Linked DNA regions of Lytechinus pictus. The protein of the gene in region 1 interacts with the protein of each later gene in a pairwise test. Links are inferred from orthologs where the notes say so. Each region holds a gene or a part of one and is shown on either strand. Other genes may lie near its edges. The genes, in order: U3 small nucleolar ribonucleoprotein protein MPP10-like and U3 small nucleolar ribonucleoprotein protein IMP4-like.

What was found.
Region 2: the proteins of U3 small nucleolar ribonucleoprotein protein MPP10-like (region 1) and U3 small nucleolar ribonucleoprotein protein IMP4-like interact in a two-hybrid assay, tested with the Drosophila melanogaster proteins (2 studies listed by BioGRID). The link is inferred for Lytechinus pictus from reciprocal best matches to the Drosophila melanogaster genes CG13097 and CG11920.

Annotation. Positions count from the first base shown.
Region 1 is NC_087249.1:26,503,683-26,513,467, forward strand, and holds the start of U3 small nucleolar ribonucleoprotein protein MPP10-like, read left to right. Parts: upstream 1-4,813; 5' UTR 4,814-4,870; coding exon 4,871-4,950; intron 4,951-9,785.
Region 2 is NC_087247.1:40,744,965-40,755,482, forward strand, and holds the start of U3 small nucleolar ribonucleoprotein protein IMP4-like, read left to right. Parts: upstream 1-6,342; 5' UTR 6,343-6,568; coding exon 6,569-6,571; intron 6,572-9,750; coding exon 9,751-9,859; intron 9,860-10,185; coding exon 10,186-10,269; intron 10,270-10,518. Other genes in the region: pre-mRNA-splicing factor ISY1 homolog, read right to left, coding at 6,209-6,211.

The DNA.
Region 1 (9,785 bases):
ATAGGCATATTATATATATGTATATATATATATATATATATATATACATATGTATATATGACTCATGAGATACAGACATGTATCTCACCAACAAATTAATGCGAGCGCGAAGCGCGAGCTGAAATTTGTTGGTATACTGACCTTAAAACAGGAAAAGCGTACCTGTTTAGGACTGTTTGTAAAGTAACTCATGAGGAGGATACATATCTCACTACACAGATAATGCGAGTGCCGAGAGCGAGCTTTAATTTCTTTATATTCTGACCTGAAAGCTTGATATTCTAAGCATTTTTGGTACCAATGATTAAGATTGGTATCTAAAAGAACAAATCTCTCTCTCTAAAAGCTCGCATATTTCGATCTAAAAAAAATGACAGATTAATGGACTTTTTTTTATAAAGAACAAGATATATATCCAACAAAATATTATTGCAAATCGAAGCGGGAGTTATTTTGAGGGTTAGAACTGAAAACGGGACATTCTATTCACCTATTTAATCATGAAAAGTATGGGTTTTTGCTACAGAAATGATGCGAGCGCGAAGCGCGAGCTGAAAATTTTTGTATTCCAATCTGAAAAGCGGACATTTTGAGCATGATTTGCAATAGAGAACGAGTTGTGTATCTCAATCTCGCTTGCTGAACATTACACCCTTTTTTTTTTTTTTGCACAACTGGAATTATTGGGGGGGGGGGGGCAAAACGATATGTTTGCCCCCCCCAATATTTTCATTGGTGGGGCGATCGCCCCCCCAGGATCGACGCCTCTGGTAAGGAGGGCTAATCCGGTGAAAAAACAAGATATTTGATCAGATTACTTGAACCTGAATTGATGTTTTCTGAACAATTTCATTTGCAACAAGGAGGCAGCTTTCTTTGGTAATGCTATAAATATTAAGTATTTATTTGCTCATTCCTATAGCTTTTAATTTCCTCTGAATAGTAAATTTAACATTTTCCTGCTTGCTGTAATGATACCAGGGCATGCTGTAACAATTTTTTTTAATCTATCGCAAATTTAGGACCATGATGTTGATTGGATTATGGCCATAATAACGATTGATCATTGTTACTTTTAAGTCAAAATTTCATGTTATAGCTCCAAATTTGCAGTTATCAGAAAACCACTTTCATATCATAAAATGTTGTTCTCATGAATTCTGTTCATGTCTATACCCACTGCAAGCATTATTTTTTCTATCTTTTGTCTGTTACGGTCTTGTTTTGGTTATTATGATGATAATAATTAATACATGACTTGGGTCATGTATGCTTAAAAGAGTGATGATGAATTGATTACTAGTAGATTTTTAGTATCAAGGTTAAAGGTGCACACAGGTCATTATGCCTCTTAAGCTCTCTCTCGTTCTTCCAAGAACTAAAGAACCATCTGGGGTATCCACTTCATTAATAGGCTCATATTTGCACATTCGTGTGACAATGATCTGGTTAAGTTTTGTGGAAAGATGATATTGACTGTGCACGCAAATGTTCGCAATCAGTTATTATTTTCATCAAAGGACAATAACTTGTGTTTCATGATGTTTGTACATATAATGGACATATGCATACTCTTGAATAATGATAGACTTGTATTCCTATTGGATTTTGATTGTGCAATAAAGATTTCACCCTTTATCTTACATGAACAATGTTTTAGAACTCTTCTTTCTTTTTTTTACCTATTCTAAGTATTTTTATTTTTTTACAGCATGAAATAAATGCTAATAATGTTTTCCCAAATGGAGGGGGAAGGGAAGATCAGTGGTGGAAACACTACTATTGATTCTGCCACTGATTCAATATATCCAGAAGCTATATGAATATTTTCATTGGGAGGAGCAGTACTAAATGCTCAAATATTTGACCACCATAACATAAATCAACATCTGCAAGAATCTTAAGAAGGGAAGGAGGCAGTTTATAGAGAAGAAGATGAAGAGGGGGGGGGGGGGGGCGGGAAATGAATGAAACGTATATGATCAGTAAGGAAAAGATAAGATGCATAGTAAGGATGATGGTGATGATAATGCTTTACTCTTATTTGGGTGTTCAGAAATGTGCCGCTCTAATTTGCATGACTTTTTTTAAAGAAAAAAACCTGAACAGGGGGTGTGGTTTTGTAAGATTAAATGTGAAAGTAGATATTTCTTTCCTAGATTAAGTATGCCAAAAGAGTAATTTTTCCAATGAGAACTGATTATGATCATTACAAAGAGGATCTCCATTAATATGATGCAGGTAATAATGTTGCCGTGCATATCACTGTTTTGTGCAGTAGGCCTATGCCTAACCTCAAATGGTCATGAATTTCTAATCTCATATTGGATTACAAAAAGTAAACAATTTTTGTGAGTTGATGTGATTTTCCGAAGTTAGTTGTATTTGGTTGCCCTAGGAACGCCCTCCCAGCTATGATAACAACCAAATCTAATAACAATGGTACAAATCATGATACACAATTGCAATTGCATGGTGCATTGGTAACACATGGATATTCATGAGACATAGTAAATATGAAGATAACTGTATAAGAGCGACAAAATACACAATTTAAGAAAAATACAGTCATTCCTCTGAGAGAGAGATACAAGGAAAAGAGATATATGTGTGTGTTTGTGAGAAAAAAAAAGCGTCATACTGCATAAGAATTAGACAAAAGGAAGGAAAAAAGTCGAGTGGAGGGGGGGGGGCGGGGGGTGCCTACATTATATGCCCTCAAATTCAGTTTTAAATACACAGCTATAGGGTACCCGGTGACACGTTTTCCTTCTGTTGTGTTCTCTTCTCTTCCCCCCCCCCCCCCCATTTGATGGTACGTTTTCAAGCCCCCATCTGTATGCAAGGGGCCGATTGCACGAAAGGGTCTTTGCAAGGACCATCTTTCGTGTCGCCCATTTTTTATGATGCGCCATGTGAAACGCATTTCAAATAAATTATCTGCAAACATATTGGGTGATTTCAAGTACGGTGTTCGGAGTTGGTGTTGGTGTTGAGAGCGTGAAAAGGCTGCTGAACCGAGCTCCAACACCGAGCTGAGTTCAGAGGAGCGATACCGATCGCGTTATCGATAACCTATGACGTCACGCTTCTGTGTTGCGCTGCTGATCATCTCAACTTTACGCAAGAAATTCTCGACGACGATAGTGAAATCGGGAATAAACTGCAATAAAATCTTATCGTACAGAATGCAAAGGTTAAAATCACTGCAATAATCAGAAAGCATAAATATTATCTTTCACTTAAATGTGTAAAACTCTAATGATTTTCGCTCATCTTATCTGTAAAAGATAATTTTACGGAGATGTTTCATCGTGTTCGCTGCCTGTTCGTGAGCTACAGTTCATCAACACCAACACCAACACCGAACTTAAAATCACGATTTTCCCAATCCCTGGGGGTTGGTGTTGGTGAATGGGGAAATTGCACGTAGATCGTCAACACCAGCCGCAGTGCTTGGTTCAGCAGACGACATTCAACACCAGCCTTCAACACGAACTGCCGGAAATACGTCATATTTTCCGAGGTCAATCCCCGGGGGGGCCACTTCCATTGACGAGTGGATACCATGCGCGACCACGGGGTCTTGAAAAGCACCCTAAACACGTATTTTCCATATTCTGAAAATGCACCCCTTAACAAGTATTGGCGTGTGAAACCTTACCCTTAACAAGTATTGGAAACAAATACTATTGGCAGGTATTCCCAGAAAAGAACCCCTAAACAAGTACAGAGATATTTTACTGTTATGTCACGCGTCCGTCGGTTTTACCTTTAGACACAGTATTTTGGTTTAGTACGGCCCCACCTTCCACACCTCGTGCAAATCGGACTCTAAACACGTAGTGTTGGGGCAAAAAGGACATCCTTTATAAAACATTTTGTTTTTGTTTGATCATCCCCGCATATAGTTTTACCCTAAACACGTATATTTTTCCGAGCGAAATAGATACCCTTTTTTCAATATTTTTGTGTTTTTGACACCCTTATCACGTTACGTACGTATTTGCCCTATCTTGAAAAAGACATCCTTTTTACGTGTTTTTTTGGTCGCGCATGGTATCCACTCGTCAATGTAAGTGGCCCCCCCGGGGGTCAATCCCAACACCAGCCTGATTTCAAGTACGGTGTTGTGGCTGGTGTTGGTGTTGTCACAACACCAACACCAGATTTCAACACCGTACTTGAAATCACCGATTGTATTCGTCAGTTAAAATAAACAAAATATTTATTTATTAAATGATGTGATATCTCATGAAATTGTATAAAATTTGATTTAAAAGCAAGCTTACGAATTTTATTTGTTTATCATAAATTTCAGAAACACACCGCTTATAGCGCATCATAAAAGACGGGCGACACGAAAGACGGTCCTTGGAAAGACCCTTTCGTGCAATCGGCCCCAGGGCTTTAGGGGGTGAGAAAATCACTGTTTACCAAAATTGCTGTTCAAAAAGCTGGGGATGAGATGCTGTATAGACTGAAGTTTAAGTACCTTTTTTTTTTACAAACAAAATAATAAGGTGTATCTCATGAGACCTTGATAATGCAAGCGCGAAGCCCGAGCTTAAAATTTTGCACGTCATGGCTTTTACCTAAATTTTTTTAAATATCTGAACCATATAACTTTTTTAATATTCATTATAATCTATAATTTTCCTTGGATTTTATCCCGATTTCCTTGAATATTCTTAAATATCTTTTGATTTTGTTTTCATTTTCTTTGTAATTCCTTGATTTTTCAAAATTCGTTGAAAAATTCCTTCTTTCGTCAAAAATTCCTTAAAATTCCACAAAACAAGGAAAATTCCTTGAATGTGGAATTAGCGTTTAGCTTTCCATACATCTAAAGCAACGCTACTGCAACAGCATGGCGTCAAAAGATGGTCATTTAAATGGTGCTTTACACAAGTTCGAAAAATCTACGAAGAATCCAGAAAGATATATTAGGTTTGTATAGTGATTTTGTAGTGATATTTATAGTTTCATTTAATTTGAATTCCTTATTGTGCTTTAATTTGCAGCTTATCTTTACGATATTTTGTGTTCAGTCCCACCCATGTAGTTTTGAGTTTGTTGAGAAGATTTTAGCTAACTCAACCAGGCCAGGTACACGAACGGGGAAAAATCAAATTAGATTTGTCTTCCTATTGTGTTTATTGAATTGTTTGTCTATTTTGTGTGTGTGTGTGTTATTGAGTTTTACAGACATCAATTTGCCATAATAATCACTTTGATTTTGGCTTTTGGGCAGCCAACGCACGCCCGGAATTCGGAAAGAGAAACCACTCTGGGGCTACACCGCTATTCCAACGCGTGTTGGAAAAGTCGACGCCAGACGGGTACGTTTTGGCCTTGAATTTCCAGCAAATTAATCAAAATTACGGCCTAAATTTAGGTCTATGTTATCAATTATATACTAATTTCATAATTATAATGTAAAACGGGTACTCACGGGTTCTTTTCTTTCCAAATTTTGTGTTTTCATCGCCTCTTCTGGCCAACTCTTGCGATGGATTTTGTCGCCATAGGATCCTGTACGTGCAAATCCAGGGCGAGTTGTCACATGACGCTCGCGAGTCTCTAGGGGTAATGGCCTTTAATCAAGGCGTTCTTTTTGCTATAATTTTATAATGACGCTTAAATATCGAAATCAATGTAGACGAGTCTGTGCAGGGGCATAACAGGGGTATATAAGAGGGGGCATAGTACATGTCGCATGTGGAAGATAAAAGTTACGTAATGTAAGTCCCGAGCACTAGCGTACCTAGGGGGGGGGGCAGTCTGCCCCCCCCCCCCCCCCGATGAGTCACAAACCCATGCAAATTACATATCTCTGCCCCCCGGCCCCCCTGACGAGCTTGAAAACCTATTTTGCCCCCCCCCCCCGACGAGCTTGAATACCTATTTTGCCCCCCCCCTGGCGAGCTTGAAGACTTTTTTTTTTGCTTGTCAAATTTTTTCTGGTACGATTGAAGACCTTTTTCATTGAAGAGCCTTTTTTTCCTTTTTTTTTGCTTGTCAAATTTTTTGGCGGCCGATTTTGCCCCCCTGTGGAAAATCCTAGGTACGCCATGCACTGCCCGCGCTACATGTATGTTGGTAGCCCTGGGACCTCTGGATATTAACTAATCCAATTTAATTACAGATGGCAGATTTTTTTATTATCTGAGTAGCCCCCCCCCCCCCGGATTATTTGTTCTCACATTACTTTCCTTTTTAAATTTCCTTTCGTTCTTTCTTTCATTTTTCTTTCTTTCTTCCTTCCGTTGCTCCTATGTTTTTTTTTCAGGTGAAATCCACTCGGGGGATGGCCAGCCATGCCCCCATCTGTTTATGCCTCTGAGATGTAGGCTATACTCATGATCTTAATCTTCGATTTTCCAAAGTAGGGGGGTGCAATTTCTCAAGTAAAATTTGACAACCCCCCCAAAAAGGTTATCACAGAAAAATTGTCATTTTGTCTCGCGTAAGATTTGACAAGTAAAAAGAAAAGATGGTTACTAAAAATAAAAGACTCATTTTGTCCGTGTAATATTTGGCAAGCCTCCCCCCCCCCCCCCAAGTTTAACATATCGGAGGCGCGATGGCTCAGTCGGTAGAGCAGGGGTTTCGGATTCCGGTGACCCGGGTTCGATTCCCAAGTGGTGCGCTAGTGCCCTTAAGGCTTATCCTCATTACCAGGTCCCTCGGAGAGGACCTTAAGCCGTTGGTCCCCTGGTTGCTTGCTCACAGGCATTCGTGCTTTTTTAGCAGTCAGGTAAAAAATCTCGATATAACATAACATTTAAAAAAAGTGAAGGTCATTTTGTCCTGCGTGAAATTTTAAAAGTAATAAAAAGATGGTCACTAAAATTGAAGTTCATTTTGTTTGTGAAATATTTGGCAAGCCCCCCTCCCAAAAAAAGGTTTTAACTAAAAATGATTGAAGGCCATTTTGTTCCTCTTAAAATTTGTCAAGTATAAAAAAAAAAATCACTAAAAAATGAAGGTCATTTGTCCCACGTAAAATTTGACAAGCCCCCCCCCCCTAAAAAAAAATGAAAGGTAGCTGATAATGATTGAAGATCATTTTTTCTTGCATAACATTTTACAAAAAAAAGTGTGTCACTATTTGGCGAGCCCCCTACCCTCCAAAAAAAAGGTTTAATTAATAATGATCGAAGGTCATTTTGTCTCTCGTAAAATTTGACAAATAAAAAAAAAGTTGTCACTAAAAAAAGAAGGTCATCTTGTCGCGCGTTATATTTGGCAAGCCCCCACCCCCCTAAAAAAGTTTGTCATTAAATATAGAAAGTCATATGTTCAAAGTAAAATAAATTTGGGAAGCAAAAAAGAAAAGGACAAAAAAGAGCAAAGAATATGAACAAAATATCCCCATTACAAATATTGCTGTGATTCTCATAAGGAGGTGGGGGGGGGGGGGGGACTTAACTTTGTACGAACGACATTTTTTTTTTACATCCAAAATATTGACTATGAATCTCAAAAGGTGGAACGGGCCAGAAATGCTCAACCCCCCCCCCCCCCCGATCTGCCATTGATTCCAATCGATAATGACTTTTCCCTGCAATACTGATGCTTGAAATCAAGATACTGAAGATTGATATATTGTAATATAAATTATGAACGTCTGACAAAAAGATAACCAACCGATCACCTGACCGATCAGCTGACCAGTACGTGAATCACATCGTAGTTGATCAGTCCCCACAGCGTTTGGAACGCTCACCAAGAATTCAAGAAAAAAGACTGAAAATGTAAGTTTAACCTCAATCCATTAAATTTCAAATGTCGTAGAAGTTTCCTAAATTGTTACCATCCACTATGTATTAAGGCGTACATTTGCCAAAGTTCTTGGGTGCAAATAGAAACGGCAATGTCTAACCGGTTTTATCACTGATGTCGCCTATGAGGTCCATACATGTAATGTTTGGACCTCATTGGTACTAGGAGTGAGAGAAACTAAATTCAAGTTAACATGGAAAACTAATTTCACAAGCCAGCGCTGCACCACTGACACTAATACGAGGTTAGTATATATACTAACCTCGTACAAGGGACCGTGTTTGACCCTGGATTTCGAAGTAGTTGGCAAACATCGCTTCATTGCTGAAGTAATATTTGCCGAAACTCCTTCTCGCTAGACGCTACGCACCGGGGCTCTTTCCGGTAAGTAGCAATAGGCCTAGGCCCTACATAAAAAATTGATTTGTAAATAATTTCATTACAAAAAGAGCAAATTTCGCTTACCTCGGCCAGCAAGTGACTTCGTTTGTCTACGGAAATACAAGGAAGCCCGTTGGTGGCGCTAATAAATTTCACAACCTTAGGCTTGATTCAGCTCCTCGGTAATTTTATAACTGTGTCTAAATTCTTTGAATGCGCAATTCTTATGATTAATTTACTAATTATGGGCACCAATAAATGAAATACCTTCAAAAACATAATTCAAGATTACTATTGGCGATGATAACACTTTTTTGCAATTAATTTAAAACGATGACTAATAAAAAAAAAATTGAAAAAAATACACATGCCTGGAACGAAACCAGCAGTACAAGCTTTAACGAAATTCAATAATACGGTATACCAAAGTCTATACAATGAAAAGATTGGACACTTCACAGACTTTGCGTAATGCCTTGCGTCGATTTGCGTGTAAAATAGTGTAGGTGCCTAGTCTTTCCCTTGTCGTGTCTTTGACATGAATATAAATCGTGTGCCCTCTTTAGGCAAAAATTGATATCCACGCTGACCAATTTTTGTCTCCGTGAAATCTTCACTAATGATCAAGAAAATATACATATTTTTAAAAAGAAACTTCAAGGAGAAGTCACGGAAGAATCTAAATGATTCGGTAAGTGTCATAGCAGAATGTGAAATACCAGATTATGCGTGATATTTTATGTGGGCAAAAGCCCAGTATATTTTGGATGTGTCGTGTGTGTCGCGTGCATATGACCGATATTCCTTCGCCCGCGAGACGATATGAACCCATGGGTGGCGCTGCACTGCAGTTGTCAATCACCACAACACACAGCAAACACATAACTTATATACACAGGCACTATCACTTACCACATGGTAACCCCGATTTCAACTCCAAAATCCCTAGGGCCTAGGCTTAGTATAGTAAGGCCTTACTTAGATAAAGTAAAATTTTGCCCTTAAAATGCGAAATATTCACCATAAATTTCAGAGCACGCGGCAGCCTTAGGCTTAGCTCCTTAGCTCAGCTTTAAGAAGCGGGGTAGTCGAAACATGCGCTTAAAAAGTTAAAATGAACAAATCTGTGGTTTTGTTCCCAGTTCGCAAACTTAAGATCGTATCTTCAAAATGGCACATCAAAAAGAAAAATCTGAAAAACTCTACTGCATTGAATTTGCACAGAAAGCAAGTCAACGGCATGCTAAAGGCAGGCTTTCATTCTACATGGGGCCAGGGTCCGAGCGTAATACGGGAGCAAATGACGGCTGCAACTTCCAGGTTGCATGCGGTGTGCAATTCAGTGGCGTTTGCACGCATTGACTTTTGAAGGCGCGTTGTGCCGAACAAAAGGCAGGGGCTGTTGAACTGTGGTCACAATATACGGTGATGCATTTCAAGATTTTATGAAAATTTGAGATAGAAGTTAAAAATAAACATTGCAATTAAAAATAAACAAATATATTTAACAAACATTGATTCAAATTTCATTTTGTGAAAAAACATTTTAGAACAAAAAATATTACAGAAAATCTTAACATGTAAAATTTCGGGCAGGCTGCTCTAACGCCAATATG
Region 2 (10,518 bases), on another chromosome or scaffold:
GTTAATCGACAACTAAAAAATCCACTGCGTAGACACGTTCGTAGTGCGAGGTTATACTAACCTCGCAATACGTGTGAGTGGCCTTGTCTAAAAAAAAAAAATATGATCACAGAGTCCTCTAGGCTAGTCATGGCAGTGGATTTCTAACTAGTCATCTAGTGCAGTGGGTCGCGCGAGATCAAAAGCTTCGGTCTCTGTTAATTCTGCTGAACTCCAGTTGGCCACCACTCACCAATAATGGAGACCAAAATTCTAACTCAATCTGTACAGGGACTCAATGGCCATATGTTTTTGTATTAAGTTCAGATAAACCAGGCAAGTAGGAGTTGCGCAACAGCCGAAGTCACTGTTTTTTTTCATTTTAAGTTTATTTTCTTCCCGTTTTGGTGCATTTCAGGCCATAAGATATACTATTATTATTTATAATCACGTATTGAATTCTAGTATTTATGAAATAATAATTTTTTTCTATAAATTGTTCTTCAAAACGGCATCGCTAGTCGGATGTACGTCATCACGAAGCGGTTCAAGGGTCAGGTCTATTGTCTTTGCTTTGTTGACAAACGGATCGAGGGATCTACGGGAGATCGGGTCTGGTAAGAAACGTCTCATTTTTACCATCTATAGTAAAATAATTTGTATCCCTTTACACGCATTAGGCGCCTAAAGGTTCATAGATAAATCAAATTCGACCCTAGAAAACCGATTTCACCCTCTAACTATGGATTTCCTGGGGAAATCCATCTTTGTGTACATGTGTCTCTTATACATATATGGACGGGGGTTCAAGACTCCATGATGAAGAAATATATGTCAAAATATTTATTTAAAAAATCATCATTGTCATGGAGTCCTCAAGACTACTGTCTAGTAATATATGCTGCGACACCACTTCTGGCGTCCACAACACACAACTTCTATCTGTCTAGATCTTATGGCTTGATTTTTCTGTGCGAGGCGGCGTATAATGAACCCTTGAGCACTGTAAGTTAGGCCTGTTGTTGAGTGCAACTGCAGTCAGACCGCAGCTTGTGCGATAATGAGCATATTCACAAAGATTTATTCAGCAGCCCTCTAGCGGTCTCCGAAGGAAAACGTGCGATCAATTTGGCTTGATTTTCCCAGTGAATTGGAGGGGCTGAAGTTATAGCTCTGTACTGGTCGCTAACTTCAGTTTACATTGAAACGAATTGTGGTAAGTTATTCTCAAGGCCTTCATCTACATTTTGATATATAATTTTTCATATTTAGACATTTTCAACCTACCATTTTTACCTCTTTAATTGATGCTTATTTTAGTAATATTTTAACTGCGATTTTGTAGTCGGAATTTCACTTTTGGTTCCTGACTTTGCTACATAACCAAATTGTTTCGATCGGGGTTTTTTATAAAGAAGAACAGTCACCGTTCAAAATATGTCAGAACCAATTTGACGCAAACTCACCTTCTATTTTTATTTTAGAAAAAATGATACCCTAAAAATCAAGAAATTTACGTTTTACCCGGAAGTAACCTTCTCGTTCACTCTACGATGGCGCAAAATAATGCAAAAATTACGTTTGTCGCGGGTTGGTAGGATTTCGCCTTTGGTCCCATACGTTGAAACTTCTGTAATGATGACAGATGGCTCGCATTATTTATATGACGGTGGACCTTTTTTTTTTTTTTGTAATTAAGACTTAATATAAACCAAGCTCAATAAGTACGGTAGATCTCTTCTAAAGTTTTATTTAATGATTATCAGGTTTCCGAATTCCATCAAGTTTGTATAGATTGAGATATTTCTTGATTTATGTTGAAAAAAAATGTTAACCTTTTTTCTTAATTATTCGAAGTTGAGTCCCATGATGATTTTTGCCCCAGGCTGCGGTTAAGAATGAAATGATGATTAGCTTAGACAGTCTATTCTATAGATTATAAACACTAAAGTTTAAAGTCAAACTAAAAGGCTGGTACTACCGTACTCAGTAGTATTTATAAACCATTTTGTTCAAATAAAAAAATTGTGGCTGTCGCAGACAGTACTATTATTAGTCTCTTGACTTACATGTAAAATAATTCATACATGTACTTTGAATGATTATTTAGTAATTTAAACTATTTCTCTCTTTTTTTTGGTCTCTTCTACACACAGATCTGCACACTTGCTGACTCTGGTCTCTGCTCGCTACTTTATTCTGGGAGATTCCATCATGTACTATAACGGTCAGACTGATTTGGACAAAGCCATTTTTTCATTTGCAAATTTTGAACTGATAATAATACAACAGAAAATTGATCTTTATCGATATTGGAAACAAACAAATTAGAGCACAGTTTTGGGGAGGGCTAAGAATACTGACTTGGACAGGAATACAGCTTGACAAAAATAAGAATACACAATTTAAAACCAAAGAACATTTTTAATGTTACTAATAGTCCATTGCAAGAAACTTTTTACTCATTCACACATTCTAAAATCAAGGGTAAGTCCTTTGATTAAACACAAACATGTAGTTGATTTGCAACTGAACATAAGTTTCTTGCAATGCCCCATAATTATATTTTGTTCTCAAGCAACTCTGTTAAATGTTATCTCAAGGCTCGACATTAGCGGTGGCCCGGTGGCCCGGGGGCACCAAAAATTCACCTCGGGCAACCATTATTGATAAAATGTTAAGTTTTGGTGACCCGAATCCGGCGAATCGGGCAACCAATAATTTTCAAAGTAGCGCAATTTTTCTCCCAATTTTGCATGCATTTATCAACTTTCTACAGCTCAAATTGCAAGCCAGTTCGTCATGCGCCCTTTTTGTTGATCTACACACAAATACACACACACAAAGTTTGCATATTAGGCCTACAGCTATAGCATACAGTAGCTATTATCCAGCCAGCCGCGCCGGCCGGCTGGCGTGAGCTTTGCATGAAGCCACTGCATACAGCTGTGCTCTAGATCTAGCTCAGCCTATTCAGACTCAGGGAGCTGCGATAAAAAATGTTGCTGCTGAGAAATCTTCCACAGAACTTTGAAAATCTAAGTCAAAGTCACATTTTACATCAATGAAATGCAATTCTACAGTCTATATTACGAAAATCTGGTGTACCCTGATTATTTGCAAGTATTAAGAAGAGGAATTATGACCTCTCTTTTGACTCAAAAAGACCGATTTCAACATGAATTAATACACATAAAAACACATAGGCAAGTACATCACAGTCCCACGTGTGCATTTGTATGTATGTTGATACTTGGTTTCTTTCGAAGCTGTGTATTTTCTAGCCAAAAACAAACAGACAGTTTCTTTCTTTCTTGTTTATAAATGACTTCTTAAACCACTCTTGAGAAAGTAAATACTTTGGGAAGGCATTTCATTGATATGAAATGTGATTTTTTTTCCAACATTTTGGCAAATATAGGGAAGGACTTTTCTCACACTTTTTTCCAGATATAATTTTTGCAGTTTTCTTTTTTTTTTTCTTTCATTTTTTTTTTACAGTGGTTAAAACCATTTATACCCCTTCCCATTGAATATGCCTGATAAAAAAATATGTTTCTACTGAAAATAAAATAATACAAACTAAAGGATATAGAAATAGAAATGTGCCATTCCCAAAAGGTAAGTGAAAATTATTTGCTTGGCTTTTAATTATATTCCAGTAAGAATAGACTGTTGCCACAGCTGTTAAAAAATATATGTAATGGCTTCATAATTTTCCCCTTTTTTATATTAACTTTGTTTTATCCATTTTTCTTTCATTTTCTTTCCTTTTTTTCTCTAATTTTTTTCTTTTCTTTTTTCCCCTGTTCTTTGTTTTTTACTTTCTTCATTTTCTTTCTTTTGTTTTATATCACTAATTTCTTTTATTATTTTTGTTTTCTTTTTGTAATATACTTTTTGAAAATTATTTTCGTTTGTTTCCCCCTTTTATGCATTGTTCTAATTTTGCAGCATATTTTCTGTGATTTTCTCCTTCTATAATATGCTGCAAAAGAGAAAACAGAAATAAACTGGATTTGGGGCATGCATAATCTAGGTTTTAGGATTCAAAGAGGAAGGAAGGAAAAACCATTGTTTTTTACATCTATCTGAGTTTGCTATGCACTATTTTTTTACTTTACCATTATCTCTATACAGAGATTTTAAAAAAAGTCCACACAACCAGCGAACAATACAATTCATTTATTCACTTTCAATCATTTCATTTTACAACGATAGAAACAATTATCAATTAGCAAAGTAAAATAACAGGAAACAAGGTTTACATACATGATGTATAAAGTGAAAGTAACTTAGTGCCGTGGTAGTGGCTGCAGAATTAATATTTCAGAAGTTTGTTTTATTCATTTTTAATGTTTTTCTTTATATTTTTCGGGCCACCAAACTTCAATATCGGGCCACCAAAAAAAATTATTTGATGGTTTTGGTGGCCCGAACGGGCCACCACCAAAAAAAGTTAATGTGGAGCCTTGGTTATCTAATGTGTTATGTATGTTCACAATTTTTTTTTCTCGAAAGGTATATTTGTCCTTTTAAACGGTATTCGAATATGGTTACGCTTTCTTTTTGTTTTCCACAGTAATTATTGCATGTATGAACAGAAGTGAAATATTTGTTGTGAAGCACTGTGTGATCATGGAGCTATGGTGTGATGGTATTATAATTAATTCATCATTTATGTTATAAGACTGTAAACCTGGTGGATGTGAGGGAGTGGCCTGGATGAAAGGAAAGTGAACATGTGTCCAATTATGTCCAATGTAACCTATTGTGATTCGATGAAGAGTTTTTATATCAAATTTGCTAAAATTGATATAATAAAATGCAACCAAAATTTAGAAAGTAATGTGATGTGAGTGACATAATCAACTCTATTTGCATACCATTGTTTTGTGTATATAACTGTTTTGTGTTGAAAAAGGGAAATTTCTCTATTTATTCAAATAATTTTTTGTTGATGTGCACTTGACCTTGACCTTGACTGGGCGTTGTGGCGTGCGCCTGTAATCCAAGCTATGTGGGGAAGTTACAAATTGATGCAGAGGTTCGAGGTTCGAGCCCTGGTCACGTCTTTCGGATGGTGACGTTAAAGGTCGGTCCCAGACGTAAATAATCATATCTGATTGATACACGTCTGACAAAACTCAAATACACGACGCACTTGACCTTTAACTCACTTCCCTTCCCATCCCTGCCCAAATAAGTGTAAACAAGAACTTGAAAATCAAAAGTGAATCAGAGTTATTAATAGCTCCATGATTTAATAATACAGGCCTAAATAGAAATTCACATGAATGATGAAAGTAAAAAGAGAATAAAGCTGGGTAGGAACGGGAAAGGAATATGATTTAAAGAAAAAGCTAAAATATATCCCCACCACCCCCCCCCCCCCTCCCCCGGAAAAAAAAACACATTCCGTCGGGTTCGATCCAGGGTCCCTGCACACGTCAAAACATTGTGCTTACGCAAGTCGCCATAGATCGCTTTCGTACTTCTTCCGGGTTTTTAATGCTATATGAAATGTTGTAAGTCTGTGCGCCGCTGTTGACCAATCAGATTCAGAATGCGTTGGCAATTCTACTGCAATTCCAATCATTTTGCGATGGACATTGCCGTGAATTTTTGTGGTTCCTGTCCTGACTTTGCTACATCATGAAATTTCATAATTCTTTTTCAGTCATAAAGAAGAATGTCTACGCTTTATATTGATTATAATATCAATTTGACGCAAGTGTGATTTCTATGCAAAAATACGCTCCGTTTATTCACATATATTTCTTGAAAAAATCCTTTATTCTAAGCTAAATATTGGTCTACAAAATATGTTAAATGTGCATTTTATTTAACTGATCAGGAATTTCAAAGGCAAAGCCTTATCTATAAAATAAGACCAATTTTGTGAGGAATAAACGATTCTAAGAGCAAAAAACACTGATCGGAAAGTTCGTCTTCACAGCTCATTGCTTATGCATAACCACGGACGGCTATGCATACCGGTACCGCTGAATAAAATAGAGCACTTTCGGAAGTGCTGCGGACTGACTGTGCAACTGCAAGTGCAAGATCAGACAAGAGATCTAACTTACACAGTACCGTACATATTTCGCAATGTATGGGACTGTAGTCTGTAGATCTATAGTATAGCAGAACAAAAGTGCATTTAAAATCATATAAACGAATCATAATTATGATGAATCACAAAAATTATATGAAAAAGTATGCGTACCATTTTTGTGTCTTTACTCTTCTGTTTCGACCCAAAAGTTTAACTGCATGAATTGAAAGCTGTGTCGATGCTCAGAGACGGAGTCAAAATCAAACGTCGTCGTCGGTAATAATAGTACCCATACCACACTCAATTACCGACGCGTATATCTACCGATATCTATATCTCAGAGCCCTTTTCTGCGCGAAAAGGTACAATTGATATGATTGGTCAAATCTTCGGACCTTGCGAAAGATTGACGAATAAACAAGTTTCAAACATAATAAGATACCAATGTGCAGCACATGTGTGAAAACTGCTATTCCGCAATCAAACACCGCAGCATCTTTTGAGCTGTTTTAATTTTCTTCAGTGTTAAAAATGGTAAAAAATTGTATATTATTGTAGCAATTTAAGATTTGATTATATTTGCATTTCAAGTGCAAAACTTGTTTGCTCTAATTCGAACTCAATTTACTTCAAATCAACCTCGGGCTCTAGACTAGAGACTAGACTATGGCTCTGCCAGGCGCGACACTGTCTAACTTTCTGCGGCTTCTGTCGGCGTCGAAAATCGTCCGCACCCGCTCCGTGCCGAGTGCCCGACTTGATCGCGAAAGCATGACTGTGTTTTCTTATCTTGGTGGGTTTTTTTTAATTGCATAACTTCCTCAAATTATTTTGATTTAATGATACTAAAAGTGAACAGAATCATATTTCATTATTTGTCAATAGATTTGATTATTTAGTAATAATACTAGTATTAGTATGCTTGTATTTTATAGACACGATAGATTTCTACTTCTAACAAGTTAGAAGTAGAACTAGTAGAAGTAGAACTAGAATAGTAGAAGTAGAACAGGTAGTCGGGTAGAAAATTTTAGTCTAACTTGTTACAAATGTTAGAATCTATTATTTTTCCCAGTTTGTGATTATGAATTATCAAAAATATTACAGATGGTTTACATTTAGAATAATCAATTTACAATTTTTTAATTATAAATTCTGATTCCAACAAGTTCAATAATGTAGGTCCTAAATGATTTTATGTTATTTATCTTTTTCACATGTTATATATAATGAGGAAGGAATGAATATGATAAAAAAAAAGAAATTAGAAAAAAACTTTCCTTTGCCTGCTTTGAATTTAATTTTATAAAGAAATATCAAGATAATGTATAATTAAAAAAACAGAAGCTTTCTGTCCCGCGTTAGATGCCGGGCAATTTTTTCTGCCGCTTCGATAAGCTCCAATCACCATTTGTTGCTTAATCGCGCAGTAGCATACGCAGGGATGGGGGGGGGGGGGGTTACATACAGGTGGTTCAACCTGTAAGTTACAGTGTAACCTTTATTTTTTTTAAACAACCCCTCATCCTCCCCCTCTAAAAATAAAAAAATAGGTACGAAACGACCTCCAATTTTGTGTTAAAGACCTTTTTTTTGTCAAATTTGAATTCTGAATTCACTGGCGGATCCAGGGGGGGCAAACCTGGCCCGTGCCCCCCTTCCCCCTTTGAGAAGCAAAAAAAAAGAAAGAAAATATGTAATGTTAAAAAGTGAAGTGAAAGTGAAGACCTTTTTTTTTTGCTTGTCAAATTTTTTCGGGGCCGAAATATTCTTAATTTTTGTCTCGCCCACCAGAGGTGAGGGTGAGACTTACATGTAGGGATCCAAATGTAGTCCGTCTGTCACAAACATTATGACACAACTCCGCATCCATAAGTCACTTGTCAACCAAACTTGGATGGTAGATGCACTTAAGGGACCTGCATGTTATGCTGCAGTCAGAGGTCACATGGTAAGGCCAAAGGTCATTTTCAGGTCGATGTTAAAGTTTACATGCAAGACTTAAAACACAACTCTGCAACCGTAAGTCACTTTTCAACCCAACTTAGATGGTAGATGCACTGAGGGGACCTGCATGTTATGCTGCAGTTGGAGGTCACATGGTAAGGTCAAAACCCAAAGGTCATTTTCAGGTCAAGGTTAAAGTTTACATGCAAGACTCTCTTATGACACATAACTTAATGCTAAAACCAGTTAAACGAGGCAAAGCGATCTTCAAAACTACATCGCGAGGTGGTTTCTGATCCGGTTTGGAAGATCGCTTCCAAGGCCGCTTCGACCGTTCTCGTTACACGTTAAACTAGTTTTTCCAGTAAACTACTTTTAGGATGGTAGAGAGAACAGTGTGATATAGACTCTTTGGGATCATGTACAATCTCGCATTGTTGGCATCGTAGGCCAATATTGTTCCAACATAGGTCGTTGGTCACTTCAGTCATCCATGCTTTCGTCGGCGGGGTATTCTGCAGTTGTTCCGGCCTTTTTCATCTCTCCAAAACTCTGTACCACAGATAAACCATTTTGGAGACTTTGACTTTGTCATTCTAATTCTGCTGCAAGACTGACTTGTAATGTATTTTGGGTGCTAATAATGCATTTTCGCGCCAGCCGATCTGGTGAGGTTAGAAAACTATTTTTCACCTCAATTTTGGGGCTCTCCAATTTTTGTCAAATATCTATCCAATCGATCATTAGCCCAAATTTCAGCCACTTCAAGCTTCAACCAGGAAACTTTGAGTTTGATCTCGATGTCGTCCTTCGAATTATCGGTCAGACGTCGCTCGATCAGCCAATATCGCTGTAGTTTGAAATCGACTGAAGTTACCAATTCAAAGATCTGCCCGGGGCAGCTCGCCCGTGCGTTCGCAAGAGTGAGGTTGCTAATTTCAGTCAATATCAAAACTACGGCTATAGCCAAGCACCGCTGTCTGACAGAGAATTCGAACTATAACTTAAAGATCAAAGCTGAAATACAGCCGTTCCTGATGCCTGAATATATGTGGCTGAAATTCAGGTCAAGGATTGATTAGATAGATATTTGGCAAAAAATTCGGACAAAATTTGAAGTGAAATTAGTTTCCTAACGTTGCCAGGTCGGCCAGTGCGAAACTGCATTAGTGCCATATTTTGTTCAAGCTGTCTTGCCTTGATTTTTGAAGGCTTGATTTTATTAAAAAGCTTTTTTCATCAAACCAGCAATTTGGCCACAGTCATGAGACATGACTGTAGCGATTAAGTTAGATCTAAATAGAATCCTAAGGTTTGTCCATGATTTTGCCTCTTGCACAGTCGTGTGTGTGTGATTGAGTTTTTACAGGTGTGTATTAATCAGATGTAGTTACTTACAACCGTCACCCAAAAAACAAAAGACCTGACCAGGGCACGAACATCTGCATCAATTTGTAACTTCCCCACAGAGCTGGCACACTGTACAGTACTATCCGAACATCTATGGAGAAAGGGAATCATAATGTGTGATGATGTAAAAAACTTCTCTGCCTAGCAAAGTCTCCAGAAGGTTCACCACCGTAGATGCAAAAATTAAGAGGTCATGACCCCCCCCCCCTCCCCTTACCAGGTTTGACTTTGCTGATTTCTTATTTCCAAAGTTTCTCAGTTACTACTAGTCTTGACACACAGACACCCATGCATATTGTGTGCATTTCAAATAAGTGAGAAATATTGATTTTCATTTGCTCTTTACATTATGACAGTTACGGAGGCAAGCTCGTCAGAGAAGGGAGTATTTATACCGAAAATCTCAGGAGGAGCAAGAACGTATCATCAGGGAGAGAAAAAGAAAGTTGAAAGATGCTCTCGATGGTAGGTTTACGGAAACTTGTTTTTATTTGATAAATCTGAGTTTTCCAATGTATTCACACTCACTAGAATTTGTGAATAAGTAAATTGTTTTCTTATCTAGGTAAATAAGTGGGAAAATCCTCATTAAAATATACCAATTTATTTTCCTGCAGATTAATATATAATGGTATACCAGTTACGATATGTATGAAATTCATGTTTACTTGAATATTTATTTTTAGGGCTTTAAATAATTAAGGTGATTTACTCAGTGTCTCATTTATAATTATTCAGCTTGAAAACTTAATTTGATAATTTAATCCATTTTATTTTTTTAATTCATCCAGAAAACAAGAAGATTCCAACAGAGTTACAGAAAGATGCACTAGCCCTTCAAAAGGCCTTGGCGTTTGATGATGATGGAGGAGAAGGTAATTTATACAGTATTTAACATGAAATAACACAGTGATGGGAATTCATGGGATGCAGAGTAAGTGTGTTTTAATTAGTTGACTCCAGACTTAAATGCTTAGGGCATTCTCAAGCCAGGGAAAGTAAGATAACGTATGTGGCAATGTATGGATTGTACCGAACAGTCAAGTAACATGACATTATGATTATTATTGTTTGTTTTGGCGTCACCTGTTCTTGGGAAGCAAAAAGCAAATTAAATCACTATG